4 linked regions of the Caenorhabditis elegans genome follow. The protein of the gene in region 1 purifies or fractionates together with the protein of each later gene. This does not show direct contact. Each region holds a gene or a part of one and is shown in the gene's direction. Other genes may lie near its edges.

What was found.
Region 2: the proteins of rsl-24D1 (region 1) and znf-622 fractionate together in Caenorhabditis elegans (co-fractionation; one large-scale study listed by BioGRID). This does not show direct contact.
Region 3: the proteins of rsl-24D1 (region 1) and rpl-23A.2 fractionate together in Caenorhabditis elegans (co-fractionation; one large-scale study listed by BioGRID). This does not show direct contact.
Region 4: the proteins of rsl-24D1 (region 1) and T25G3.3 fractionate together in Caenorhabditis elegans (co-fractionation; one large-scale study listed by BioGRID). This does not show direct contact.

The regions. Positions count from the first base shown.
Region 1 is NC_003279.8:9,665,643-9,672,623, forward strand, and holds rsl-24D1 (putative ribosome biogenesis protein RLP24), read left to right. Parts: upstream 1-3,772; 5' UTR 3,773-3,778; coding exon 3,779-3,859; intron 3,860-3,914; coding exon 3,915-4,141; intron 4,142-4,187; coding exon 4,188-4,368; 3' UTR 4,369-4,456; downstream 4,457-6,981. Other genes in the region: cel-1 (mRNA guanylyltransferase), read left to right, coding at 32-232, 431-656, 703-830, 878-1,005, 1,056-1,200, 1,245-1,310, 1,356-1,592, 1,643-1,728 and 3 more; C03D6.1 (Piwi domain-containing protein), read right to left, coding at 3,071-3,173, 3,222-3,532, 4,606-4,806, 4,855-4,966, 5,012-5,073.
Region 2 is NC_003281.10:6,377,444-6,385,178, forward strand, and holds znf-622 (C2H2-type domain-containing protein), read left to right. Parts: upstream 1-4,190; 5' UTR 4,191-4,202; coding exon 4,203-4,385; intron 4,386-4,441; coding exon 4,442-5,255; intron 5,256-5,327; coding exon 5,328-5,458; 3' UTR 5,459-5,553; downstream 5,554-7,735. Other genes in the region: nfx-1 (Transcriptional repressor NF-X1 homolog), read left to right, coding at 1-758, 809-1,159, 1,216-1,566; C16A3.6 (Protein MAK16 homolog), read left to right, coding at 2,019-2,407, 2,460-2,582, 2,632-3,091; C16A3.5 (NADH dehydrogenase [ubiquinone] 1 beta subcomplex subunit 9), read left to right, coding at 3,348-3,398, 3,510-3,950; let-716 (rRNA biogenesis protein RRP5), read left to right, coding at 6,109-6,228, 6,273-7,424, 7,468-7,735.
Region 3 is NC_003279.8:8,325,997-8,333,111, reverse strand, and holds rpl-23A.2 (Large ribosomal subunit protein uL23B), read left to right. Parts: upstream 1-3,464; 5' UTR 3,465-3,466; coding exon 3,467-3,612; intron 3,613-3,659; coding exon 3,660-3,852; intron 3,853-3,896; coding exon 3,897-3,998; 3' UTR 3,999-4,050; downstream 4,051-7,115. Other genes in the region: C34B7.1 (UPAR/Ly6 domain-containing protein), read right to left, coding at 410-578, 631-751, 798-875, 918-1,121, 1,164-1,247, 1,299-1,511, 1,884-2,204, 2,366-2,498; Transcription factor cep-1, read right to left, coding at 4,405-4,609, 4,658-4,779, 4,845-5,081, 5,436-5,649, 6,162-6,303, 6,748-6,913.
Region 4 is NC_003279.8:7,555,550-7,564,207, forward strand, and holds T25G3.3 (60S ribosomal export protein NMD3), read left to right. Parts: upstream 1-4,289; 5' UTR 4,290-4,294; coding exon 4,295-4,436; intron 4,437-4,481; coding exon 4,482-4,609; intron 4,610-4,659; coding exon 4,660-5,055; intron 5,056-5,507; coding exon 5,508-5,722; intron 5,723-5,768; coding exon 5,769-6,016; intron 6,017-6,105; coding exon 6,106-6,194; intron 6,195-6,242; coding exon 6,243-6,413; intron 6,414-6,462; coding exon 6,463-6,615; 3' UTR 6,616-6,800; downstream 6,801-8,658. Other genes in the region: Chitin synthase chs-1, read left to right, coding at 1-395, 440-531, 580-927, 976-2,447, 2,494-2,876, 2,922-3,324, 3,378-3,632, 3,744-3,907.

The DNA.
Region 1 (6,981 bases):
AATAAATTTGTAACAAAACGATTATGTTCAGGTTACCGAACACGAATGTATCTATCATAAAATGAAAATGGCTGGACGTGGAGTGTCGCCGACTCAGGAGGACACGGACAACTTCATTAAACTCGTTCAAGAATTTCATAAGAAATATCCAGATCGTGTTGTCGGAGTGCATTGCACTCACGGATTCAATCGAACAGGATTTTTAATCGCTGCATACCTATTTCAAGTAGAGGTATTTACTGTTTAGTTCATCATGACAATCCAACTGTTTAATTTTCGAGAAGCTAAAAATTTATGTACTCATTTATTGGAATCAACGCATGATATTTTGTTGAGAAGTGTCTAATTAAATACGTTTCTTTTTGAATCAGAAAAAGCTCAGAGAATAAAAAGTTGATTATCTTTTTTAAACTGACAGGATATTTTTAAGGAATATGGTCTCGATGCTGCAATCGGAGAGTTTGCTGAAAATCGACAGAAGGGAATTTACAAGCAAGACTACATCGATGATTTATTTGCAAGATATGATCCCACAGAAGATGACAAAATTCTGGCTCCCGAGAAGCCAGACTGGGAACGAGAAATGTCTATTGGCATGAGTACACAAATTGACAACGGACGACCATCGACAAGCCAACAAATTCCCGCAACGAACGGTTTGTCTTCAATTTCAAGCCTTAACGTTTAAATAATTTTATTCAGGAAATAATAATCAAAATGGAAATCAATTGAGCGGAGGAGGAGATAATTCGAAATTGTTCATGGACGGATTAATTCGAGGAGTTAAAGTGTGTGAAGATGAAGGGAAGAAGAGCATGCTTCAAGCCAAGGTATATCATTTTCTCACAATTCTTTAGCTGTATAGTTTTTTCTTTAGATTAAAAATCTCTGCAAATACAACAAACAAGGATTTCCGGGTCTCCAACCCGTATCTTTGAGCCGTGGAAACATAAACTTACTCGAACAGGAATCATATATGGTATCATGGAAAGCTGATGGCATGAGGTTAGTGAATATTCTTTAAAATTTCATTTAAAGATTTTTTAAAATTTTAGGTACATCATTTATATCAACGATGGAGATGTCTATGCGTTTGATCGTGATAACGAGGTTTTTGAGATTGAAAATCTTGATTTCGTGACAAAAAATGGTGCACCATTGATGGAAACCCTTGTGGATACTGAAGTCATCATTGATAAGGTATGAAAACTCATAATTTATGAATGAATTATTTGTTTTCTCAGGTTGAAATCAATGGAGCCATGTGTGATCAGCCTCGAATGTTAATCTATGATATTATGCGATTCAATGTAAGTTGATTTCAATCGGAAAGAAAATGTATTATTCGTTTCCAGAGCGTTAATGTGATGAAAGAGCCATTTTATAAACGATTTGAAATCATCAAAACTGAAATTATCGACATGAGAACTGCTGCATTCAAAACTGGACGCCTGAAGCACGAGAACCAGATTATGTCTGTCAGAAGAAAAGATTTTTATGATCTTGAAGCAACTGCTAAATTATTTGGACCGAAATTTGTGCAGCATGTCGGACACGAAATTGATGGTCTCATTTTCCAGCCGAAGAAAACTGTGAGAATTAAAATTAAATTTTGAACGTGTTTGAGAATGATATTTTACAGAAGTATGAAACTGGAAGATGTGATAAAGTTCTGAAGTGGAAACCACCATCTCACAACTCTGTTGATTTTCTACTGAAAGTTGAAAAGTAAGTTTCTAAAGAGGAAATTGAAGGGTATCAAGAGAATAATCGAATTGCAGGAAATGTAAAGAAGGAATGCTTCCCGAATGGATTGGATATTTATTTGTCCAGAATCTTTCCGATCCATTTGGCACAATGAAAGCAACGGCAACTCTCAAAAAGTATCATAATAAAATTATCGAATGTACACTGCTGGTTGATAATCAAGGACGGGTAAACATTATTTTTTGATGCAAATCTATGTTGAAATTAATATTAGTTTTTAATTTGGTTACTTTTTTTCAGCCAAAAGAGTGGAAATTTATGCGAGAAAGAACAGATAAATCGTTGCCGAATGGATTACGAACTGCGGAAAATGTCGTTGAAACTATGGTGAATCCTGTCACTGAAACCTATTTAATTGAGTGAGTTAATTTATAAAAAAATAAATAAACGGAGTATCATAATTAAAATTTTTTGATCTTCGGCACGTTTTCAAAATTTTCAGTCAAAGTTTTTGGAAAAACTGGATCTTTTTGGGAATTTCTGGTTTTTTTAATGCAGGGCAGTTTCTAAAGGTTAAATCAAGGCTGAATCCGGAAAAAAACTTTTTTACGGAAGTTACGTTAATTTGTTGTTTTTAAAAAAGATACTTCAATCATATATTCACTGTGGAAAAAATTGTATAATTTTACAATTAATTAGTTTTTTTAGTTAGCAAAAGATTAAACAAACATCGAAAATATTTAGAAACAAACATTTTCGAAAATTTCATCAAATTTTGTTAATATTGATGAAACGAAACATAAAGAAGCATACACCTAATTGTATTATATTCGAACTTTTTGCATAAAAAAATTAATTATTTTGAAATAGTTTTACTAAGATATTTAGTAAGTATAACAAATGTTTTAAACAATATTCGCATTGATCGTACTAAATCTATAAGACTTAACATATATTTTGCTTCCTCAGGTATGTAAATCACGCTCTCCGAGTTTTGAAAAGAGCTGCAGCAGCTCATCGCCATCATCAAATACACCAACAACAACTCCATGAGGGAGAACCGGAAGCAAGAAGACAAAAACTCTGATAATCATTCTCCTACATTTGACATCTTTTTTTTTTTTTAATTTTTCACATGTTGCCTTTCTTAAACTCTCCTAGATGCTCTTTCATTTTACCAACAACACTACGGTTTTCAAAAATAACTCAGAAATTATCATTGGCTGTCTTTGTACTTTTAAAAACAAATTCTTTTTTCGTGTTCTAAACAATTGTTTTTTCATTAAAAATTTTTTATTCAATTTTTCATAATTTCATGATTAAGAGAATTCAAAGATTGTATTGTAGGAAATGGAATTAGATATCAAACTTCTGGGTCAATGTGAAGTTGGAGCGAGATTGTATCAAAATCATATTGAGAAGAGTTAGCAATTCGAGGTAGAGCATTGTTGTGTGCTTCTCTGAAACTGAAAATCAAAAATTAAAAGATTTATCAAGAAATCGAATATTCTTACGCTGCGTAACTGGGAAAAAATTTAGTCCACAGTCCAGCTTTGTTTTCAGCATTCCAAAGAGGTTCAAGAAGAGAAAATCGATGATTACGAACTCTAATTGTTATAAACATGTTAACAATTAAGTTTTGAAATTCTTCGTTTGATTGGAAAATTCCGTCATCTTGAAACAAATAAACGAGTGGTTCCGTATTTTCTGGTCGCCATGGAGCCAATCCAAATGCAAATCGAGGATTCCATTCTGGAAGATTTGATGCAGTCTCTATATATGTTGATATTTCTTCTTTGAAAGCTGTGAACTCTTGATGTTCTACCTGAAAACTTACGATTTCTTCTTTGGTACATGATTTCCAATTTGAATCACCGCGCTTTTATCACCGACGCAAAGTGCGCAAGCAACACTCGCTGGCGCCTTTCTCTCCCTTTGCGCATAAGGCGATCGCTTTTTTATTTTTTCGCAATTCTTGATTCTAAACTAATTTTGTTACTTTTCAATGTTCTCACTGTCCAATTTCACCGTATTTTGCGTTAATAAATTATTTTATCAATTTTAGGTAACAATGCGCATTGAAAAATGCTACTTTTGCTCGTCTCCCATCTACCCGGGACACGGAATCCAGTTTGTCAGAAACGATAGCACAGTAAGAACTATTTAAAATAAAATTAGTTTACGAACTGTTCAATCAATCTGTTTAGGTGTTCAAATTCTGCCGATCCAGATGTAACAAATTGTTCAAGAAGAAGAAGAACCCAAGAAAGCTTCGTTTCACCAAGGCTGCGCGTCGTGCTCGCGGAAAGGAGCTTATCAACGACGCCACACAGCTTCTCGAACAGCGCAGAGATGAGCCTGTCAAGTATGAAAGAGCCATGTTCCAAAAGACCATTGAAGCTGCCAAAACGATTTCCGCATTGAAAACAAAAAGGTAAATAAAAATAAATTTATATCAAAAAGCAACTATTATTTTTCAGATATGGTAACCTGATCAGAAAACGTCTGCAACCAGGAAAGATTGTACAGAAGAAGGGACTCCTTGCGAAGGTCGACAAGAAAATGCATCTCATCCGTGCTCCAGTTGCAAACAGAGATGGTGTCAAGACAAGGGCGGCAGCAAAAGAAAAGAAAACCGCAGAATCGATGGAGACCAATTGAGTACCCAATTTTCTTTCTTTTTTTAAACTTTTTGTTATTTGTTACTTGTTGTTCTACTCCCGCTTTTGTGAATACACTTGGATTTACGATTTTTTGGAATTTCTTGTTATATTCACTACTGGACAGGAAAAAGCGTTTCAACGAAATACTAGGTGGTGGTAAGATTATTGGTCAAGGCCGCAGTTGTGTTCAAATTGAAAGATGCAACGTTCAAAGTTATTTTAATAGGAAACGTACCGTTGATTGTAGATCATCGCGAACTTGATCTCGGAGCACAATAATAAAATCAGGGAGCACTTCACGATGGGATCTGAAGTCTTCAATTATCCACCGAGTGACTCGTCGAATCAGCGCAGGATCAACATGCGGAATGGTGGCCTTTTGGAAATGAAAGTACTCGGTAAAATGATCAGGACACGAGGTTCCGTTGAATGTGAACTGGAATTACATCGAATAGCAAAGAGTTGAGCACAAAAATGTAATTACCACAACTGTACTGGGATTATTGTAGACCCCAGGTGTACTTGGATCCACAGTTCCATGATTTATAGCATATCCTATAAAAAGCGTATTTGTCTCTGGCCCCCGCAAGCTTCTCCTGAAATTAAATTAAGAAATAGGTATTTATGAGCTAAAATCTCACATATACTGGTGAGCATTATTTCTTATATCTGGAGCCACATGTCGCCTTCTTCTTAATGCCATCATTATTCGGACTGAAAATTTTGGAATTTCAGAAATCACCCAACAAAGAAAGTTTATAAGACAAGGTACACGGAGAAACAGAAGGAGAGATAAAAATTGAATAGCCTAGAGGTTTCAATGACATAGACATATATACACATACACACTGATCAGAACATTCTTCTTCTTTTTATTCGTTGTAGAGGAAGTTTTGACGTCGACGGATGGATGAGGACGACCGCGTGGGGGCTGTTTATATCACTATTTGTGTATGGAAGAAGCTGATATGATATGGTAGTAATATTTTTGCATCTTGAAGATTGTTCTTCCGATATTTTGGCGGAAAGTCCTATTATCATAGTTCTGATGGTTTTTTGAAACATCCGCCTGAAGGCGCATGGATTTATTCAGATAGGTCTCGTCGCGAGAAAAATGTTTACTGTAGGTTTCCTTTTATTCGACTTCCCTATTGCATTTTTTTGTTCTCAAGCACATTGAAATTCTTAACAAAAATCGAGAAAAATCGTTAAAACAGCTAGAAATTTGTTTTGAAAAAAATCTTAATAGAAAGGAAAATAATATCAAAATCGGTGTGTCTTTAAGAAACCTTGTTTCAGAAAATTACAATGTAATTTTTTAAATCAAAATCTGCTTTCAGTTTCCCATTTCATCTTTTTCTCTCTCTGGACATGATTATTCACAGAATGTTTTTATTTGCAAACTCTCGCCGCGCTTTTTTAGGTTTACTGTAGATGAATTAAGTTTTATTTTTTATTGGTTTATTGTAATTTTTGGTCACGAGTTGAATTCGGAAAACACCCAACATTGTAAGTGAAGTTTCCAGTAATTATCGTTTTTGAAAAACTATAAAACACAGAAAAAGAAGCCGGAAGTTTCTATAGGTATACAGTAAACATAAAGACGCATACACAGATCGTTTTCGTAAAATTCCCGACGAGACCTCATTCGAATAAATCCGCCTTCCTTAAAACTTATAGAAGTTCGTGTATTTAATTCCACGTTTCTTCAATGATACTGTACCGCGAAAAGGGTGAGATTTTTCATGTAGACACTCTAAAGTGATAAGAAAAATCAAAGAAGGGAGTCTAAATGCGTGGACAATCATTAAAGATTCTATCTTTTCGGGGGCTGCTGATCGAGAAAAGAAGTCTACGAGAAAAAACTGTTTGGCAGTCATTTAACAAATTCTCTCATTAATTTAAATATGTATATCAATTCAGTGATAAAACAACGTATTGCGACAAACTATAAATGTAATAGGGGGAAAAGTCACGTGGTGTCGTTTTGATATGATATGATGTGATATGGATAGCGAAATAGAAAATGAAAATGATGAAGGGACAGGGGTGAAAAGTCAGAGGAATTCCGTGGAAGGAAAGGGGAAGAACAATTCTTTATCAGTTTTTGGGAATCATTGTGTCAGGTCGAATTGGGGGACGGTTTCATTGTTTTCTTTTTGATAGTCTGCTCTTTGACCTGAGAGAGAAACCGCATGTCAACCAAATTTTGCAAAAGTCTTAGAAAATGAGTACGGTAGATTGTTTGAATGGTTTTTCATACTCGGTAGGCTCTTCAATATCGTGAGCAATGAACGTTGAGTTGAAAAAATTATGTATGATCCCTAAATGTCACCTATTTTTGGACATGAAGTATCGGCCAAGAAATAATCTTTATAGGTTTTCTAATTGAGCATAACTCAAAAACTAGTTAGTTTTGCAAAAGAAGTTTGTCAGCGAATCTTCTGTAATACATTAATTATTTTTCGAGTTAAAATTATTTGAAAATTTTGAAAATGACCAAAAAAAATCCAGGAACGCTTTCTAATTTTGGTAGGTACTGTATATGTAACCCTATCAGAAAATGTAGACAAAGAAACTTTACGGATAGCCTAACATTTTAGTCTGTAGC
Region 2 (7,735 bases), on another chromosome or scaffold:
CTCGTCTACCAGTGTGCTCCCAACCATGTGTCCGTCCACACAGTTGTGATCATTCTGTCTCTCATAAGTGCCATGGTGAACAAAACTGTCCTCCATGCACACAGCTCACCGAAAAAATGTGTTATGGTGGACATAGAGTTCGCAAAAATATACCGTGTCATATCGACTCAGTTTCATGTGGCGTGGTTTGCAAAAAACCCCTCAAATGTGGAGTTCATGTGTGCCAAAGAACATGTCACGGTGAAGAATGTGAGAAAGAAGGGGAGAAATGCACGAAAAAATGTGAAACCATCCGAGAGCTTTGCGAACATCCTTGCGCACTTCCATGTCACGAAGATTCTCCGTGTGAGCCAAGCCCATGCAAAGCAAGTGTGAGAATTTCTTGTGAATGTGGACGAATTAAAAAGGACGCACCATGCTGTGAAGTTGATAAAATGATTCTATCAAAACTCGAAAAGGAAGAAGAAGAAAAATCTGAATCGGATGGTGAAGAGAAAGTGGTCAAAGAAGGAATTCTCAAGCGCTCAACAAGTTTTTCTCAACTTAACTGCATGAAATGTGATGACGAATGCAAGAAATTGGAAAGAAATCGAAAAGTTGCTGAAGCTCTTGAAGTTGATACAGATGAATATGGAATGAACAAACTCGCTCCAACTATTTCCTTCCCTTGTTATCTGAAAGAGATGGTTAGAACCAACATTGATTTCGTCAAATCTGTTGAAAAGATTCTCATTGATCTGGTTATTCAAATTCTAAGTGTAAGCTACCATTTGTTTAAAATTGTGGGCATACATATAGTTTTTTACAGGGTGAAGCCTACCACGACACTTTTCGAGCTCACCTGCCAGCAATGAGTATTGAGAAGAGAAGATTCGTGCATGAATACGCCAACTTTTTCAATATCGCCTCAGAAAGTGTAGACAGTCCACCAAAAAGAAGTATCGTTCTCACAGCAGTACGAGGAAAATCTCATCAGCCTCTCGTTCTCATTAGTGATCTTGTAAACTACAAAGGAGCTCTAAAGACGCCAGGACCTGCTGTTATTAGAAAAGATATAATGGATCAAGCTTTGAGTAAAAAAGAAGAAACAGAAGGTCTCATGAAACCATTAAGATGTACGGAAAAAATGGTAGTTCGGAGAGAAGCTCGTCCAATGAAGGTAAATATATAATTTTTGTCTGGCATTGTTCAGATTTCAATATTTTTATTTTCCAGGAAATAACTGCCCCAATCCCATTGAAACAACAAAACCAATTTGCTCTTTTGGGGAGCGATGTCGATTCGGACGATGAAGAAAGTAACGTTCCGACAACAAGTAATTTAGTATCTTCACCTCCAAAAGATTGGTGGAAAGACGAGGAAGAAGGGTGGCAAAAAGTGCAACAAAAAGAGTATGTTGTTGAAGTCGAACGCGATATGACCGAAGATGAGATTGAGGCGGCGAAAAAACTGGATGAAGGTCCCACATGGGAAGATCAATGTGACGAAGATGCACCAGCAACAGAAACCAGTTCAGCTATTGAATCTCCAGCGAAAGAGGAGCCGGTTGCTGAATTACTAGAATAAAACGTATTAGATTTTTTACATGCACTATCACATCAATTTTCGATGTTACTATTCATATCCTCAATTGTACGGTGTAACAGTTTGTTTCAAGTACATTTCCATTGTTTTGAATACTTTAAAATACGGTTTGCTTGTTTTAACTAATGAATAAATATTCTCTGGTGTTTATATTATTTTAATTGCGTTCCTGTGGCCCAGTTATTTCCTGTGAAAATATTTGTTTGAGACTTTAAATTTTAATTGAAAGATGAAAATAGAGAGAAGGCGCCTTAAGGCACGCGGGACTGACAAAGTGTGCAAACACCGCCACGCGAAGACGCACACTTTCGGTTCTTTCACAATTTTTTTGCCCGTTCTTCTCAATCAATTCTTGCTTCTTTTTCCTTTTATCGAAGTAATTCTCGTGTGAAAAACAACTCAAAAAATTCGAATTTTTCAGAAACTGGGTAAAAATGCAGTGCGACGATGTGACTTGGAACATTCTCAACAAGGGACAATGCGCCTACAAAGCGTGGACAAAGCCAAAAATGTTCTGTAAAAATGAAATGAATTTGACTGGTTTGTGCAACAGAGCTTCGTGTCCATTGGCTAACTCACAGTATGCAACAGTTCGTGAGGAGAACGGAGTATGTTACTTGTACGCAAAAGTTGTCGAACGATCTCACTATCCACGTCGTTTATGGGAAAAGACAAAGTTGTCAAAGGATATGAACAAAGCATTGGAACAAATCAGTGATCAACTTCTTCATTGGAGTGAATATGTTAGACACAAGTGCAAAGCTCGTCTCATCCGAATTCATCAATATTTGATCAGAATGCGTAAAATGGCAGTCCGTGGAAAGTAAGTTTAAACTTATAGAAACTGAATTTTGCATAGTATTATTTATTTTCAGCCAGAAGAAACTCATTCCAATTGGACGGAAAGTGGAAAGACGTGAGAAACGTCGTGAAGAGAAGGCACTTGTTGCAGCTAAACTTGATCACGCTATTGAGAAAGAGCTCTTAGCCAGACTTAAGTGAGTTGATATATTAGAAAGTGCACATTTTGAATGAAACAACTTTTAGACAAGGAACATATGGCGATGTTTACAACTTCCGTCAAGAGGCATTCGAACAAATGCTGGAAAACACTGAAAAAGAGTTGGAAGTGGAGCAAGAACTCGAGCAGGACGACGCAGACACGGGTGAGACTCAGTTCGTCGCTGACTTTGATAGTTCCGACGATGAGGATCAGGACATGGAAGACGGAGGTGATGGACATTGGTCACCAGGAGATACTGACAGTGAGAACGAGGATAATTGGCAGCCAGAACAAGAACAAGAGGATTCGGATGAAGATGATGAGGAAGGAGGTGATGAGCCAATGGAAATTGAGGAGCCACCAAAGAAGAAGGTAAAGAAGGAGCCGAAGAAAAAGACTGGGAAGAAAGCTGCTGATGGAAAGAAGAAGAAGCTCAAGAAACGAGCTCATGTTGAGATTGAATACGAAGAAGAAACGGAGCCACGACAAAGGGTCAAGGCATAAAACTTCGCATTCCATTTTGTCTGTTATCGTTATTTTTGTTCTTTTCTTTTATTCGCCCTCTTCCAATTGTGTTGTTGTTATTTGCTTTTTAATTTTTAACTCTTTTACCCAAAAATTCAAATGAAAATTGTTACTTTTCCTTGTTTACTAAAAATTAAACTGATTGGTTTTTTTTCCAATTTTATTTTATTGTTCCAATCACATATTTTTGTACTCTATAAAACCCATTGTTTTCAGAGAAGACCGGGAGGAAGCCATGGATTCGCCGGCGTGGATGTTCACGAAGGCGCTGAGCCATAGACAGAAGGTAATTTTTATTTTTGAAAAGCTTTAGTCGTTTGTGAAATTGGTAGCGTTGTTTTTTAATCTGATTGGAGATTTCGTCTGTTTAAAATGTAGCGAATTATTGCATTTTCAGGTCACCCGCCTCTACAAACGCTGTCTTCGCGAAGTTGACAACTGGTATGGAGGAAACAATCTGGAAGTTCGCTTCCAAAAGTGTATTATCCGTGCTCGATTCGACGCTAACGCTGATGAGGTTGACACCCGTAAGAGCCAGATCCTTCTTGCCGACGGATGCCGTCAATTGTGGGAGAAACGTCATTTCAAGCCTTTCCGTTTTGCTCTCGATCCAGGAGGTTCCAGTTATGATCGTGAACGCGAGTCGCCGGATGAGATTGTCGATTCGGATCAATGGACATTGGCTGAACGTGAACAGTTCCCCTACTACTTCAATACTCGTGAGCAGAGAAAGAAGGAGTTGCTGACTCACTGGGCCAAAATCGAAAAAGCTTGGGATGAGGAGATCGCGTCAATTCAAACCCAACTACCAGCTGCTGCCCCAACTGTTTCCAAATAGGCCACTATGAGGAAGTAATGCGATTGATTTTAAGTAGAACGAGCTCACTCGTAGACCGAATAATTTTGTTTTGTTTTTTATGAATTTAACGTCACTGAACAAATAAATATAGCTGTATTTTCATTGTATATTATCATTTATTATTCATCTGTTTAAATGGTTATTGCTGACCATTTGCATATTTTTTCCAATTTATTTAAATTTCTTCTTGTAAGCTTTAAATTAAACATTTTATTACAGAGATCTATCAGAATGGATGGATCTACAGGGTTCACATGTGTAACATGCCGTGTCGTCTTCGAGACAGCCGAGCTGCAGAGAGATCATTACAAAACCGAATGGCATCGGTACAATCTGAAAAGACAAGCTGCTGAGCTTCCAGCTATAGGAATTGAGCTTTTCAATGAGAAAGCTGCATCGTTCAACCCAACAAAGGTAGGGGAAAAGTTTTCTAATGTTCGCTTAATACTTACTCATTATCAATTTTTCAGCCAGTCGTTGCTGCTTCAGTTGAACCATTGTACTGCAAGGCTTGTCGGAAATCAATCAAATCGGAGAATGCAATGACTGATCACGTAGCTAGCAAAAAGCACAAGGAAAATGAGAAGAAGATTGAGGATGATGTGAAGAAAGGTCCAAAGCAACCAAGAAAGAAGCCAGAGAATTTGCCAAAGAAACCTGAGTCACTAAAGGAACCTGAAAATGATGAAGATGATGACTCGAGTGGATGGGAAACTGACGATGAGGAGGAAGGTGTGGAGGAACTAAATGAGGATGATGCTCTTCCAGTCACATCTTGTCTGTTTTGTCCACAGACAAAGCCTAATATGGATGAAATGCGTACTCATATGAACTTCCATCATGGATTCCAACTTCCAGACAGGCAATACTTGAGCGATGAACTTGGATGCTTAAGCTACTTGGGACTTAAAGTTGGAGCTGGTCGTTGCTGTATCTTCTGCCCAGACGTTAAAGCCAGATACGAATCAGTTCAGAGTTGTCAGCAGCACATGCGAGATAAGCAGCACTGCAAACTCCGCAGAGATCCTGAAAGCATGATTGAGCTCGACGACTACTATGATTACAGTCCGATGTATGATGGAGATGATCAAGATAAGTCAGAACTGTTTGATGATGGATGGTCGCTTACTCTCCCTTCTGGAGCTAAAATTGGACACCGTAACCTTCATCGATATTTCAAACAATACCTTCGCCCAGTTGATGGTACACAGAGACTTGTTTCAAGAGCAGCACTCGATAAAGCAAAGGGATTCTATCCAGCTCTCGCTTGGACTGGAACTACGAGTAAGTTTTATTAGAATTCTATGACATCAAATAGTAGAAATAAAAAGAAATGTAACAAAAATAATATTTCAGCTGTCGCGGCCAAGAAGGTTGCTCGAGACATGAAGTTCGTTGAGCGTTTCCGTCGTCGTTTCGATCTGCGTGTGGCAGTCAAGTCGAACAAGTTGTTCAAGACAAACGGATTCGTCGGAGACAATCATTGACCACTTCATTCCAATTTTTCTGTTCCTGTTTGCTAACCTTGTTGTTTTTGCCGTTACCCCCGTTATGTTGACATTTTTCAATGAATATCCATCTGAAATAATTCGCTTCGATATACCAAAGAGGGATTTGGTAATGATCTGGTTTTCAAATTCAACACAATTCTAATTAGATCAAGTGTTTTGACCAAAATTTTCTTCAAAGGGAGGACCAAGTTATTACGAGCGCAGGTCTCACAACGAACACATTTACTACGGTAATCTTCAACTTTATTCATCATACAACGAAATCTTCCCTATTTAGAATTTAGCTTTTTCTTGGCGTATTCTGAACATTTTTTGCTAAATACGTCGCTTTTGTTAAGCAATTAAAAAATAGAACTATACATTTTCGCTCTCGCCTTCTAAATATTTATTTTTCGAAAACATTTCTTCTTCTTTTGATTGGCTACGGTATGCGAGTCCGCAATAGTCCGTCGCGGTGATTGCACACTTTTATCTTCCGAGAATTTTTTTACAATTTTATTTTCCATTTTCTCATTAATTTTTCCCCGAAAAAAAAAAAGAAAATGCCATGTTTTTGTTTTCAAAAAATTGTCGATATTTTATTTACTCGTAATATCTCTTCCGGGGTGATGAATATTTTGTTTCAGATGGTTAAACTAGATGAGGTAACAAACGAAAAGTGCTTCCCGCGTGGTGGTGGTTCGGACAAGCCAAAACCATTGAACAAATCCAACTCGGACTTTGTAGGAACGAAAGGAGGGCTAAAGGTTTGTTATTATCTCTCTTTTCATTCTAAGTATTCAAGTTTTAGAGAAAGTCCGCAGCCCCAGAACAACACGAGGCCAAGAAAGCTAAAGAAGAATCTAGCTGGATTCCGAAGGTTGAGGAGAACTGCTTCATTGAAGGACTCACAGGTTTTGGGGTAGTTTCTGAGGTTTTCGATGATGGAGTTCTTCTGCATACCGCTGGTACACATACCGTCAAGATTCATGCTTCAGAAGTCTCGAAGAAGTTTACGGAACTTTTCAACGAGGAAAAAATTGAGATTAAGAATGCATTTCAACTCGGCCAGATGGTTCCATTTCGTGTGATTAGTAAGAAGCAAGGTAACGACAAAGGGAAGGTGAAAGGAACTTGCAACCCAGCTCGGCTCAACAAACATCTCTCTCCAAATATGTTGGCTGCCGGTCTCGTTCTTCATACCGCCGTCGTCAGTATTGAGGAGAAGGGTGCTATTCTGGATGTTGGACTTGATCAAATAACAGGATTCATCGAGAAATCGCAATTTCCAGCAGCAGGATTGAAAGAAGGAATGCCACTTATTGTTCGAGTTCTATCTTCCACGTCAAGAGTAGTAAAAGTAACTTCCTTTGTGGAGCAGGACAATTTGAATATGACGTCTTGTGAGAAGCTCCAACTGAACCATTTGATGCCTGGAACAATTCTCGAATGTGAGCCAACAGGAGACGCAGTTACTGCTGGAGTCATTGTAAACATTGGAAATGGCCTGAAAGGAATTCTCCCTCGCCGAAATTTGCCTCCGCGCCTTCGTGAGAATCCGGAGAAGCTCGGGAAAGCCATTAGAGCAATTGTGATGTTCTGTCAACAAAATTCAAAAATCCTTGTACTCAATGCACACCCAGATATTGTTGCTGCCAGTCGTATCGAAAAAAGAACATCGTTTGAAGGAATTTCAATTGGAGACAAAGTCAAGTGCACTGTAATTGATGTACTCCCAACCAAAAGTATGGTGTACTTTGCTCTCCCTGCTATCGATGGAAAAAAGTCATTGGTCACTGCGGTGTCATCTCGAGGACTTTTGGAAAAACCAGATCAAGTTTCTACTGAGTATGAAGTTGGAACGGAAAAGCTGTGTCGAGTCACAGGATTTCGATATGCAGACCGATCGATCACCATTTCAACGAGAAAAGATATTTTGAATCAAAAAATTACAAAATATCAGGTAATTAAAAGTAAAATTAAATATTCCATTTTTATATTTTCAGGATGCAAAGTGTGGAGATGTACTTGATGCTCGTGTTCATCACGTGGCAAAAAGTGGAGTTTACTTCATGGTGTGTAATTTTGTAAAAGCATTTGCTCCTTTGAGCATGCTTTCGGATAAGCCACTTCCTGCGCAAAAAATGAAGAACATCTATAAAGTTGGAACTGAAGTAAAATGTCGTGTATGGCAGATTTGCGACGAGAGAAAAAATTTAATCGTCACATGTCGAGAGTCTATTCTTGGATTGAAAAGTCCGTCCGTCAACAGTG
Region 3 (7,115 bases), 1.3 Mb from region 1:
GAGCGCACTTGCAGACATCAGCACAGTGCTATTTCGTGGACAGAGAAACATGAGAAGAAACAAGGTAAACTTGAAAGTAAAAGTTGCACTGATCAAAAAACTGAAAATCTAAAAACAAATGTTTTGGACTATTGATTTTTTTATTATTTATAAATTATCTGCTTTAACATTAGCCGGATTTCGGAAGAGAGACTCCAAGAATTCCGGGAAGTTGAGACTTGGAGAAACAGATTTCTCAACTTTTGTACTGGAATTGCATTCATTGGTTTAGTTAATGATGTGAAATTGTGAAAATTTCTAGTTTTCTTCTAAAACTCAACGAATTGATAATTGATGGAGATGTTTATTAATGAAAAGAACGTAGAATTGTACAGATACAAGGAGAAATATAAGATCACATGATTTTATGTTACACAGCAAGAACCAACAAAAGCAGAGTTATTAATATTTCAGCGTTGCAAACTTTTGATGAAACCGAATTTTGTGGAGCAGGAGTTGGAAGTGGTATGTCAGAGCATGCCGTGTTGCAAAATGATGTGTTGCATGCTTTTATAGCTGTTTGAATGGAACCAGCCATTCTGAAAATGTGGAATTAAATTTTAGATTTTGAAATTTAGAAAGTGTACTTACTTATACTGACAATGATTAATATTTGTATACGCAGAATTATCTGGAAAACTCAGAATCGACGTTGTTGCACACGATTTTTTCACTGTTGATTTCGTAGGATCAAGCTGATTTTTGGATCGTACTGAAGTATAAACCATAGTAAAGTTAAATTATGTCAATGATCTTACCAAATGTGCAAAATCGTCCTTGACACGTCCCACCAGAGCAATCATCTGAATTGACGGCACTACATTCAGTGCAGGTTACTGTAACTCGTGTTATTACGGTGGTCTCACCTACGCGTCTACCTGCTGACGTGTCTTGTGTACATTGTGAATTGCATAGATTTCCAGTATTACACACCTTGACATTATATTCAACATCATTTATAACTCTAAAGTTACAGACGTTAGGCACACCGGTGTAGGTACCATCTGGGTATTGAGCATATGCAAGTGCAGAGCAAGATTTACGATAATATGTTTTAGTTGTTCCAACTCGAAGTTGACGCTCTTAAATTGTATAGGTTAAGCTGGAAAATGATATAATCTTACCGAAAATGCAGAAGTTTCCTTCACATGAACCCGTAAAACAATCAGAATCTGAAGATTCACAGTCATAGCATCTCACCAGTGGTTCTGAAAGGTTTCAATTTGACTACTGATCTTTTATAATTTCTAAGTTCTTACGTCTTTGTGGAATAGGCGGGGTTTGACCAGGATTGCAATAATTGTTACAAAGATTCACATCATTGCAAATTTTCACAAAATATCTACTATTTACAGTATTCCTAACTTCACACAATCCAACGCTTGCAACTGTTGTCTCATCATCTAGTTGAATAGTTGGCTCAATTAGACATGATTTTCGAAGATACATTTGATTATTGAATAGGCGACGCTCTACAAATTCTTATTTTATGGCGTTTTTTGAAATAAAATTGCTACTGCACTCCAACGCCAAATAAATAAGTTCAGCCTCGTTAGGCATTGGCGGGAAGTTCGAAAATTCGAATGTTTTCCATAATCTTTGTCAGCTTCCACTCGTTTTCAAGCATTTTTAATTGATTTTACTGCAATAAACTTAACATAAAACCGAAAAACTGCTTGAAATCGGGCGAAGACCTCGAAAATAAGTGAAATTTTTGAATCTACTATTTTTGCCGCCGATACCTAGCGAGACCCAACTTAGGGGGCGGGATCTTCTCATTTGGCATTGGAGCATGATTGCACTGAGCGCATTTTTTACACGTCTCCATATTAAAAAAAACATACCGTAAAGACAGTATGCGCCTTCACAAGTATTCGTCTGACAATCAGTTCCATCATTTGTTGAGCATTCATAACATGTGACAGATCCCAAGAGAGGTGTTGGATTTACTGGTGGAAGTGTTGGTTGTGTTTGTGTCTTACAGTCATTATTACACATATCCTGTGTTGTGCACAATGCCACGTAGTATTGACCCTGACGTGTTGTACGAGTCACACATTGATTCAGGTTAGACATTGTGACTCCGTCATCGAATTGATAAGCTTTTCCCTTTGTGTAACAAGTACGAAGGACATGTGTTATTCCATTAGCAGCATTTAGTTGTTCTTGAAAATATTTTGGGTTTTTCAGAAGTGAATGGTCTCTCAAAAATATCGAAATTTTATAAATTTTATAATTAATTTTGGAAAATAAAATTATTGGAATTATTTTTTTTTCTAAATTATGTTACTGCATTTACATTTATTTAATGAATTTTGATTAATACCGTATAAGCAAACGTCAGATTCACAATCCGGTGCATTTACACATGCTTGACCATTATAACTGTAACAACTTCGACATCGAATCGCCTCCGAAAAAAGAAATGCGAAATTTAGTAAAAATAAAAAACGGAGCATCTTCAGGAAAGAATAGGAATAGTTTCGTTTCGAGACTGTGAAGTGGCGCTTGTGAGAAGATTAAAAAACGCTTGGAGGTTACAAATGTTTGCCCAAATATCTACTCATCATTCGCGCATGATACAGCTCTGGAACAAGGAGTGGCTGTGTTATTTGGTGAAAAGATTATCTTCGGATGACTCCGCTTTTGGCAATGTGTGCGAACTTGACGTGCACTTAAACTCTAACAAGTTGAAATTTATCATAAATATTTGCAGATATATTTATTTTTTGTGATTCCAGTTTATATCTAGTTTAGCAGCTTTCTTGGGTGTTGAAATTGTGTAACAACTTTTGAAATAAAAAACAAATTAATATATTAAACTTTATTCATTAAAATTTGTTTTTGTCACTTGTTTCATTGAAATTTAATTTAAAAATGATTCGTTTTTAATTTTAATTAAAAACGATTTTAAAGGCACATGGAATTTGAAGGAGCGTAGCGCATTGCTACCAAGTGGGTCCCGCCACGATTACGACAACCGTAGTCTGCTTATGCAAATTTAGTTTCAATTCCTAAACTTTTTTCGCTTCTTTTCGCGATTTTCGTCGTTTCCAACGGTTTTCCGTTCGTTTTTAATAAATTTTTTACGTATAAAATTAAGTTTTCGTTGAATCCTTCTGAAAACTCTTTAAATTTGTAATCCCCATTGAAATTCAGATCAAAATGTTAAATTTTCGGTTCATTTTTGAAGGAAATGTATCCCCACTAAAATTTTAGCGTTGTTCTTCCTTTTTCAATCCTGAACAATATTTGCGTCAATCATTGCCCACTGACGCTATTCTTTACTCCGTGTCTGCACCCTCCTACGAAATTTGTACTTTCTCATTTTCCTTCGAAATTTGCTTATTTTTTGGCCTAAATTTGTTGTTTTCTCATCGATCTTGCTCATTTTTCAGTTTTTCTTTCATTATTAAATCTTGCAGACATGGCTCCGTCATCAAACAAAGTGGGAAAGGCTATCCAAGCCAAGAAAGCTGTCGTCAAGGGAAGCAAGACTAACGTTCGCAAGAACGTTCGTACATCAGTCCACTTCAGACGCCCAAAGACCCTTGTGACTGCCAGAGCTCCAAGGTAAGACGATTCTAATAAAAATCGATTATTAATACAGATTTTTATAGATATGCCCGCAAGTCTGCTCCAGCCAGAGACAAGCTCGATAGCTTCGCTGTCATCAAGGCTCCACACACCACCGAGAGCTCCATGAAGAAGATCGAAGACCACAACACCCTTGTCTTCATTGTTGACGAGAAGGCCAACAAGCATCACATCAAGAGAGCCGTCCATGCCCTTTACAACGTCAAGGCTGTTAAGGTATGTTCCTAATTATCAGTTCACGTAATATTTCAAATTTACAGGTCAACACCCTGATTACTCCACTCCAACAGAAGAAAGCTTACGTTCGATTGGCTTCGGACTACGATGCTCTTGATGTTGCCAACAAGATCGGATTCATCTAAATCTATTTGTTGTTCATTGTTCGTTACCGTTATGATGAAGATATTCATTAAACGTAGTTGAGCTTTGTGGGAAGCAATCGATTCGATTGCAACGTGCAGATTTGATTCAAAAAGGAAGCAGATTTTATTGTAGTATCAAATACCTCTTCAAGTCTCGGTGACATTCTCATTCTGAGTCGATTTATGTTCGTCGACAGACTCGTTTTGTCTCCGTAAACATCATTCGTAGCCGGACTGTCTAAAATTAGTTTTGAATTGATAAAACGAACAAACTTTATTACGAAAAAATGCGATTATAAAAAGGAACAAATGTCAGTTTGAGTATCTAGTGAGAAATGCGGTGCTTTGAAAAGGATGAATATTGTGAAAACAAATTAGGCGATTAAACCAGGTGGTGATATGATTTTTACTTTGGCAGTTTCATCGCTTCCTGGATGCGGTAAAAGCTGAGAAACGCTTCGTAGTATTTCGACAATTTCGAAGAATCGATACCAATTCTTTCGAAGATGTCATTATGTTTCTCGAATTCTCTAATCATATCCCCCATTGTATAAATTCCGTTTGCATTGAACAACACTGAATCGTGCCCTGCTTTTATAGCGGTGAGGAATCTTCAAAAAAAAGAAATTACGGCAATCTTTATAAATCTTTATAAATACCTTTCAAGTCCTTCAGTTGGCAATATATGGGAGACTACTTGCGTCGGAACCCAAGTGTATCTGGGAACTTTTGCTTCGCGTGCCAGAAATTCGACGACTTTTGTATACTCAGCAGTCGACAGCTGAAATTTATTGTGAATCAAAATTAATTATAATATTGCTTTAAGAGTGAGCTAAAAATACTTACAGTGAGCGTTCTAAACGAATAATTGGTACAGCGACTTCTCTTCATCGACGGAGATTGACAGTTTTCGTGTTCAGTTTCAATCGGAGGAACGCATCCATGAAGACGACTTGCATAACCTGTTACTGGTGGAGTTCTGTGCATCATTGTATAATCATTATTTGGAGAATCACACTCATTCAAAAATCTCTTCCGATTATTACTGTTTGATGGAGATGAATATGAAGTTGATGGTTCCATCTGTAAATTTAAAATCTTATTTCATATTGCGTTGAGAAAATAATTGAATGTCTTGGGAATTAGAGCATATATATTTAAAAAATTAGATCGAAATAAAACATTTCAAAGCTTTGTGGTCGAGCAAACATTACGCATAAAGGAAGTCATTGGGAGATAAGATATCGAATTTCAATTCAGTTTTTGTTCATTCGACGGAAACAAGAAGAAAACGTTTTTCTATAGAAAATTGAAAAGAATCATGATAAATATGGTATATTCTTCTGGCAGAAAATTGATATTTCTACAAGGCATGATTTTGGAAATTGAAGTTATTTACTATTTTCCAAATTCTTTTAAATCATATTCTAGACAAACCTGTGCAGTAGTATTGGTCACGTTGAACATGTTCTCTAGATTGACCTCTTGTTTGATATTTATCGATTCTAGGCTCGCCTTCTTGTAGGCAGGTAACTCGGGAAATCTGAAATCCTTTTGTTTTGCGTCTTCTCGCTCACAGAAATTCTTCCAGTCACGTCGTGGATAGGCAACAATTCGAACTTGTTTGATGTATGCGTGGAGAATTTCGTTTCTGAAATGGTTTTTATTTAGTATATTAAAATGTTTAAAGAGAGATTTTCACTATTAATTTTACTCGATTATAAAGAGCTTTTTCAAAAGAACCAATTCAAAGAGTGAAAACAAATGTTCAAAAAAAAAGATCAACAATTCACAAATGTATTTGATTATGAATAAAGATCAAGCAATAAGTGTTATTAAAAAATTAGCAAAAAATTGATTTGAAACGCGGTAAACATTGCCGCGTTTTTAAATGACTCCAGACTGGCCTAGAATTTTTACATTTCTCTTACACGACCCCCTATCTGGAAATAGTAAGAACAGTAGATGTCGTTTTTAAACTATTTTGGAATAAATATTTTAAATTATTTTGATTATTTGAAAGTAATCTTTGACTTTTTGTTAAGTAGAAAAGAAACACTGTTTCAAGTGAATAGAGGAAGGCATATTTCTTCAACAGTAGGACAGTAGTAGAAAGCTTTTTCAGTATTCTTTTTTCAAATTTGAAATTATGTCTGAATTTACCCATTTTCATCGTCCAAAAAGACCGCAAGGCACATCGTTTTTCGTCGATCATCCAAATCAAGGCACTTCTCTTGACACATGAAGATTATATCAAAATTCGCCTGAACTGCGCCTGGATACATTATCAATGTAAATGTACTTCCTGAAAATTATTTATTATGCAATAATTTTGAACATGTTGATTCAACTAGAATAGTGTTAAAATATTTAAGAAAGTTATTCGCCTGATCTGAAAATTTTGAAAAAAATGTTTAAAAATTGACTTTAAAATGTTCCATCGGAATTATTTGCCGATTTTCTCAAAAATTGCGATTTTCCATTTAATTACATTTTAAAAAATTTAATGTTATTTTTGTTGTTTTATTTGAGTTTCCAAATAAATTTTCATCGAAAAACTATGAAAAATCCGCAACAAACAGCTTCAAAAAATTACGGTACTCTTTAAAGGTGCATTCCATTTTACAGTTAACAAAAATTTGTCGTGTCGAGACTACCGTACTTGTGGTGCAAAAATCACAATATTTCATGTTTGGATAATACCAAAATTTTGTAGAATTCGCCGTTATATTCATATTTCGAACGTTACCTTTTTCCGCACTATATGAAAATTCGTGTTCTGAATTTCTAATGTAGAAAAATGAATCAAATGGAAAATGTTGTTCTCGTTCAGTATGACTTCGACACTTCATCACATCACTTCTTGGATTTCGAATCGCATATTCGACATTTTCTTTTTTGTCGTATTTCACAAACTGAAAATGTTTACAAACTTAGTGCCTCTTTTCTCAATTTGAATTTTTTGCACAAAATAAATGTTTATTTCGTATTACGGTAGTCTCAGAGATTTTTTTTCAAAAAGTGAAAACATTTACATCCTAACCAAGGGTGTCAAGTCCCATGTCCCGTTGTCCCGTTTTTTGAGTGTTTTCACGGGAACGGGACGTCCCGTTGTCC
Region 4 (8,658 bases), 2.1 Mb from region 1:
TCGCCAGATGCCTTGTTCTCAGCGCATGCTTCCCACTTGTGGCTGTGTTGCAAAGATCTTTGGTAGCAATGGTTTCTGCTGCTAGAACAGGAAGATCATTCCGAAATCGTCTCGGCCGATGCTTCGTTGCAATTCCACATGTCATTATGTTCTTGGTTCTCATGAGTAGCTGTTATGTTTGGGCGCTATTTGATAACAAGTTCACAGCTATAATTGCACTTCCGATTGGAGTAATTTGCACTTCAGCTGGCTTTTGGGAATCTTGGATTGACACAACGCATTCTGGTACTTCATTTGATGAGTTATACAGGCTCAAATATGCTGTACGGAAGATGAACACCACCACGAAACTTATTGTTTCCCTCATGCGCATCGTTTGTACAGTTTCAGTTCTGGTGAGCATAATTGATTTTTTCTGGAAGAAAAATTGTACTTACAGGTATCTGCTGTCTATATTAACGATCACAAGAAGCTTAATTCATCTCATTTTGTCAAGGCATTCTTTAGTTTCAGTACACGGCAACCCCACACGTGAGGATATCAAAAACTGAAGCATTTATACTAATTCCCTAATTACAGGAGGCTTCTTCTACTAGCCACCGGAATCATTGTTCTCCATTTTGTCATGCGAGGGATTTCACGCTTCTTGGCTGCTCTTGATCTGCATCCGTTCTCTTTCGTGCACCCACTCTCCATTGCTCCTCTCATCGCTTATGGATACGTCCGTTATGCTTGCCAATCACCCACATGTTCAATAGCTCGACGATTGGCTAGATTTGGTCTTCATTGGGTGTGTGATCAATGGTTCCAAAGCGCACGAGGAATCGCATCTCCGGACTTTTACATTTGCCTTATTTGGTTGTTGGTAGGATGCTATAGAGGATGGAGATTGGTTAGACAACGATACTTTGATACGAACGAAGAAATGTAAGTTGAGGCAATTTTGTTTTCATATTTCAATAATTATGTTTCTAGCATCTCTTCAATGCCTCCTGTCTGTAATGGCCTCTGCATCGAGCAATCTCTTGTGGTATTCCAACATTCACTGAATCGGCAAGAAAAAACTATGCTTACCGAAGAAGAAGACATATCGGATGAGAATGATGAGCTACGAATTCGAAACGATGAAGTTGACAGAGTGTCTACGGTTTATGGATGTGCAACCATGTGGCATGAAACAGAAACCGAGATGCGACAAGTACTTCGTAGTATTCTGAAGCTTGATGTGGATCATGCGACACGTATGAACAACAAGAAAGCTAATGAACTTCGATACCGATTGGAAGGTCACATTTTCTTCGATGACGCATGGGAAGATGTCGAAGAAGATGGAATAGAGAAAAGGCAGCCAAATGAATACTTCAACATGTTCTTTGACTTGCTCAATGAAATGACTGGTGAAAGATTAAATGAAGAAGGAAAGATGGAAACAAGAATTCTCGTCAATACACCTTACGGTGGTCGTCTTGTTGTAAAACTTCCATCAGGAACTTTACTCTTCGTACATTTGAAGGATAAAAAGATGATTCGACACAAAAAGCGATGGAGCCAAGTTATGTACATGTATTACCTTCTTGGTCATCGTATCATGGATTGCCCACTTTCTATTGAAGATAGACAACAGATGGCTGACAACACGTTTATTCTGGCTATTGATGGAGATTCTAAGTTCGAACCTGACGCACTTCTTCGTCTTCTCCACTTGATGAATGCGAAAAGTGATATTGGATGTGCTTGTGGAAGAATTCACCCAATTGGAAATGGTATAATGGTTTGGTATCAGAAGTTTGAGTACGCTATTGCTCATTGGTTTCAAAAGGCTGCTGAACATGTTTTCGGTTGTGTCCTTTGTGCGCCTGGATGTTTCTCATTGTTCCGTGCATCTGCATTGATGGATGACAATATCATGCACAAGTATACTAAGACCGCTTCCGAACCACGTCACTACGTCCAATATGATCAAGGAGAAGACAGATGGTTAAGTACATTGCTTTTGAAACAAGGATATCGTATCGAATACGCCGCTGCGTCTGATGCTGAAACATACGCTCCGGAAGGATTCGAAGAATTTTTCAATCAACGTAGACGCTGGACTCCTTCGTCGATTGCTAATACAGTAGATCTTCTGATGGATTACAAGAGAGCTTCAGAAAATAATGACGCCATTTCATATGCCTACATCGCCTATCAATTCCTTGTGATCTTCTTCTCAATGCTCGGACCTGCCATTATATTCACTATGCTCGTATTCGCCCAAGTTGCTGCTTTTGAACTTCGAGGATCTGATGTGATGCTCTATAATGGAATTCCGATAGGATTTTTCATTGTTCTTTGTTTCACAACAGAGTCGAATATTCAACTTATCTATGCCAAGTACATGTCGATTGCGTACGCGTTCGTAATGTTGGCTGTGTTAGTCGCTACCAGCAGTCAAATTGTTCTCGAGAGTGCGTTTTTACATTATCCCTTCATCCTGATTACGACAATTTTCAGCTGTTCTCGCTCCTACATCTCTCTTCATTGTCACAATGGTCGGAATCTTCTTCTTTGCTGCATGTCTTCATCCAAAAGAATTCACGAATATTATCCATGGTGTCGTATTCTTCCTCATGATTCCATCTACATATGTGTTCCTCACTTTATATTCGCTCATCAATCTCAACGTTATCACGTGGGGAACTCGTGAAGCTGTCGCTAAGGCAACGGGACAAAAGACGAAAAAAGCGCCTATGGAACAATTTATAGACAGAGTGATTGATATTGTGAAAAAGGGATTCAGATTAATCAGTTGTCGGGAGAAGAAGGAACATGAAGAGAGACGAGAGAAAATGGAAAAGAAAATGCAGAGAATGGAGCTAGCCTTGAGAAGTATTGAGGTTATCTTTAACTTTAGAAATGTGAAATTAATAATTTATTTTCAGAGTGGTGCCGACGTGAAGAAAATTCTCGATGCAACAGAGGAGAAGGAGAAACGTGAAGAAGAAACTCAAACTGCAGATTTTCCGATTGAAGAGAACGTAGAGAAGACTCAAAAAGAGATTCAGAAGGCAAACCGTTATGTGTGGATGACAAGTCATAGCTTGAAAGTTTGTGAACGAGGAAAACTGAAAAGTGCGGAAAAGGTTTTCTGGAACGAGCTCATCAATGCATATCTGAAACCGATCAAGACGACGCCAGCTGAAATGAAAGCCGTCGCCGAAGGATTGGCTTCTCTACGAAATCAGATTGCTTTCACTATTCTTCTCGTTAATTCTCTTCTTGCTCTTGCCATCTTTTTGATTCAGAAACACAAAAATGTGCTCAGCATCAAGTTCTCGCCAATCAGTAAGCAATATTACCTTTATGGTCAATTCAAAAAATTTGTTTTTTTTTTCTAGAAAACTTCCGATGGACGAAAATGAATGAGATGACTGGACAATACGAGGAAACCGATGAACCATTAAAAATAGATCCACTTGGAATGGGAATTGTTGTTTTCCTTCTAATTATTCTTTTTGTTCAAACTCTCGGAATGCTTCTCCATCGACTTAACACTATGATAGGAGCTTTCCAAGAAGTGAAAAATTTGTACGAATACGGAGTTTCACCAGTGATAAATACAAAGAATGATGATGAGAGGATTATGAATAATGGTATTTTCTTTTTAAAACTAAGTTTAAAGACGAAACAACTCAAAATTATTGATGAATAATTGTCATTAAATGATTTTAAATTTTCGCAAAAACTAAAGATATAATTTTCAGCTCGTCTAATGATTAATTCTCTCGGTGTCAGTACTGGACACGCTGCCGACGGCTATACAAGGCATCGCGGAGAGGAATCCGATACCGGCAATGTTCTCTACAAACTTCAAAAGGCTCGTCTCGCAAAGCGAATGCAAAGAAGTGCACTTTCCACAACTGAATAGTGCTAAAATTGATTTTTATTTTTTATTTATTGCATACCAATTAGTATTATTATTATTGCATGCTCTTACCTCATCTCTCGCCTTTATTAACTTCTGTTGAATGAATTTGTAACTAAAATAAAGAAGAGGAAACTTTTCACCCTCTTTTTAAATGAGAAACTTTAAGGGATTATATTGTTCCTGCTTGGATATTTTATTTGAATTATCCGCTCAAATGTCTTACTTGAAAAGTTCGGGCGAGCACGTTTGCAGGGTCATTCTTCTTTCGCAATTTTTCTCCATTCTTCCTAAAAAAATGTTTTGATATCCTCAATATTCGTAGTTTTGAAGAATTTGCAAGCAGATCGCTTTGATTTTGCAGTAATTATATATTTTTTTTCAGTCAAAATGCAATCCCTGGACATAAAACCGACAGTTGGTCTAATCGCTTGCTGCGAATGCGGTGTTGCGATTGAACCAAATCCAGCGAATATGTGCAGTGGATGCCTTCGCTCGAGGGTAGATATTACCGAGGGAATCACTCGGCAATGTGAGTTTTCTAAAATTGTTGAAATAATAATTTTTCAAATTTCAGGCACAATTTACATGTGCAAATTTTGTGATCGTTACTTTGTTCCACCAAGTGCATGGATGAGAGCAGAACTGGAATCCAAAGAACTTCTTTCGATTTGCTTGAAAAAGTTGAAGCCAATGCTAACGAAAGTAAATCATTCACGGAATCACTTCAGTTTTCAATAAAATCCAAAATTTAGGTTCGTCTGACCGATGCGTGCTTTGTATGGACAGAAGCTCACTCCAAGCGTATCAAAGTGAAAATCACAATTCAAAAGGAAGTATTCACTAATACAATCCTACAACAAGCTGTCGTCGTTGAGTTTACCGTTCACAGTCAATTGTGCGATGATTGTCGTCGTGCTGAAGCCAAAGATTTCTGGCGTGCTTGTGTGCAAGTTCGTCAACGTGCAGAGTTCAAGAAGACTCTTTTCTATTTGGAACAACTTCTCCTCAAACACTCCGCTCACAAAGAATGTACTGGAGTCAAGCCTGTTCCGACTGGAATTGATTTTTACTTTGCGAAACAACAAGAAGCGAGAAAATTTGTCGACTTTTTGATGACTGTACTTCCATGCAAATATCACTACGCGCAGGTTTGTGAAAGTCGATGATGCTGAAATAATTGACATCAGTTTGCCTACAAATCAGGGGTGCATAGCAATTGCCGACCGGCATTTTTACGAAATGAGCCAGAGGGGCATGCTCTCCCAATATTTTTCAGTAAAATGTAAAAAAAATGTTTTGATTTATCTGAAAATAACTTTTTATTAACAACTGAAAGTGCTCAAAAAATTACTGAACGTTGAAAACTACCCGAATTGTTTTTTTTGTTGATAATTTATCTGATTTTTTCCGGCAAAGCAATTATTTTTTATGTATTTTACCATTACATTTTGATGAAACATATTAGAAAAACATGTCAAACTGTATCATTTTGTAGAATTGCCGCGCACCCCTTTTTCAAATTATTCTCTGAATTCTTACGAGTCAGTTCGCAAAACACCATATTATATTCACCATCAGTTATGACATTTTCTTATTTCAGGAACTTGTCTCTCACGATACCAAAAACAACACATACGATTACAAACACACTTTCTGCGTTGAAATCGTACCAATCTGCAGAGACAATATCGTTTGTCTCCCAAAGAAACAGGCTCAACAATACGGAAATATGTCACAAATCGTTCTTTGTCTTCGTGTCTCGAATGTCATCACTCTCATCGACCCCAACAATTTGCAGTTGGTTGATGTTCAAGCGTAAGTACAAATATCTAGAAAAGAAATGAAAATTGGCATATTACAGAACTAATTTCTGGAGAGAGCCTTTCGATTCTCTTTGCGGACCAAAACAATTGACAGAATTCTACGTTCTCGATGTGGAACCTGTAAATAACTTTGAGAGAAAGGCAGGCCACGGATATGTGAGTAAGAAACACGAATTGGCAGATGTATGGTTGGTGAGAAGTGATCAAGTTGGAATGTCTGATGCTCAATCTCTATCAGCTAGAACTCACATTGGACACTTGTTATCACCTGGAGACTTGGTTATGGGTTAGTTTCAATTATTGTGTATAACTTTATTTACTTACTTCTAAAGTTTCTGATTAGAATTTTTTTGGAAAAACATTTTTAAAATTCAGCATTCGACATGAAGAACTGCAATGTGAATAATGCAACTTTCGATGCCATGAACATTGATAATGTTCCGGATGCAATTATTGTCAGAAAGGTATTTTTACAGTTTTTGGAGGAATACTCAATATTTTATGAATTTCAGGTATTCGATAGAACTCGTCGTACAGCCAAACGTCAATGGAAGTTGAAGAGATTGGTTGTTGATGGTAATATTGTTGGAAATGAGACGGCATCAGTTGCTGATGAATTCCAAGGATTTATGGAGGATATCGAAGAAGATGCACTGATGAGAGAGAAGATTAATATTTATAAAGTGAGAGAAAATTAGAATGATATAATGTTGTAAACCAAATAAATTGCAGGACGCAGAGAAAGGACCAAATGTTGATGGAGACGACGCAGAAGATCATCCAGATGCTCCAACTCTTGCCGAAATGCTTGATGATTTGAAATTCGATGACGAGGAGATGAAAGAGGCTGAAAGTGCAGAAGATGATGAAGCTATGCAAGAGTAATCTTCGCTCTATCTCAAAATTTCGTTTTTCTCCATATTGTTGTCTTCTATATTTTTGTTTGCAATCTGATCATTGTTCCAACCTATTCCTACTACTCGCTTGTTGTTCTGTTATCACATTTTGTTTATTAAAAATACCCCGTTTTTTGTTCGTTCTCCTTATTTTTTGATAAATCTGTTTTCAAGAAAAGCTACGCCTACAATACTTTGCTGTTTTAATCACTTAAAAACTATTACTGCATCATTTCTTATCAACATTCTTGCCCTTTACTCACCTTATCATTTTTAAGTGCATTTTCAGGTCTAGATTGTGCTTTTTCTCATTATTCTTGAGATTTTCCTATTTGAATTCATTCTCAGAAATAAGTCTGTATGCCGCCGTCAAGGGCGTCGTCGAAAAATTTTACGTTTTTCTGGAAAATCGTAAAAGTTTTTTTAGGATATTGACAAAAAATTCAACATTTTGTTTATGGTGTCATCGAAAACTTCTCGATTTTTCAGAGATAATTGAAAAATTGAAAAACGAAAATTTTAGATATTTTTAAGAATCGGGAAGAAGGTTTAGAAAATTAACAAAAATCCAATTCTTCTTAAATTTCAGTTTATTTTGATGAAAAAACAGAAGAAAACATATAATTTTGTTTTACTTGAACAAGAATCAACATTTCGAGACATTTTTTTCGAAAAATTGGGAAACGGGAATTTTTAGATTTTTCCTTTTTTTGTAAAAAATCTAAAACGACATTCTTGATGCTGCTGAAAAAAGTTATCTTCTAAAAAAATTTAAGTTTTTTTCGTAATATAGAAAACAAAAAGCCTTTTTAAAATCACCCGGAAATTTCGAAAGTTAGGATATTAAAAAAAAACATCTACCTCCACGCTTTCCAAAAAAAGTTTGTTCGGTTCAAAAATTGTGTTATGTTCATTCTAATTCTCTTTTGGCACACAATCTCTCAGACATAAAAGTACCGTCCATTCAATTCGCGCATTTCTTTTCCTTCTCTTCCACTCTCACTTTCTGACTCTTCCCATTTCTAGTCTCACAATCCTTCGAAATATACACGAGTATTTCACATGTTCCTTGCCTCTCCGTCTCTTCTCCTCAAATCGATGCATTTTTCTCTGCACTCTCCACTGTTTTCACACGTTTTCATTTCATCTCTCATCCTTCACAACACCATGTTTTATTTTCTCGTCGGCCGGAGTTTTTTGTCAAAAAATGAGGGAGGAAGGAGGAAGAGAACTGAGACCCAGTTTAATACTAGGCATATCCTTGGGCTCCGTGAGCCGCGTCACTTCTTGAAAACAATTTATTTTAAGATTCAATAGTTTCTAGGTTCGACATGATTTTGTGATTCCTAATGCTTTTAATATTAAATCACAAATGACTGTAACGGTAATGCAATTTTTCAAATTTATGCCAAAATTTTCAGATTTTTTGACAAGTTGACACAGATTCATTCAGATGGGTCTCGGCGCGCAAAAAAGTTTATGGTGGTGCTTCGAAAAAAATCACAATACGACTACCATAAACTTTTTTGCGCTCCACACCCACATGAGTAAATCCGAGCGCCTTTAAAAAAGCATGCCAAAATCTTGTGAAATTACTCCCCTATCCAACAGCAAAAGTTCCCCAATTTGACAAATTTAGCTCTTGAAGTGACTCACGATAATCTTGATTATTTGACATGGATAGCTCCCTATTTTCAAAGATTTTATCAAAATGCGATCAAAAATCCAATTTTCTAGCTAGCGACCACTTATCCAAATTAATGTTCACTGTCCATTAACCCTGTCTGTCCATGAAGACGTGATGTTAACAATTCATCAACATTGTTTGTCATTTCTCTTATCTTTAACCTCTCCCTGATCCTTTTTGTTTACCCAAATTGAACACACACCTTGTGTTTATCGCAGCGATTGTTCTTTTCACAGTTTTTATGTCATCTGGCAACGATTTTGTACTTCAGTTCGATTTAGTATGAATTAAAGATTTAAATGTCTAACTGTTAAGAATTTATCAGATTTTTTCGACCTTCTGAGA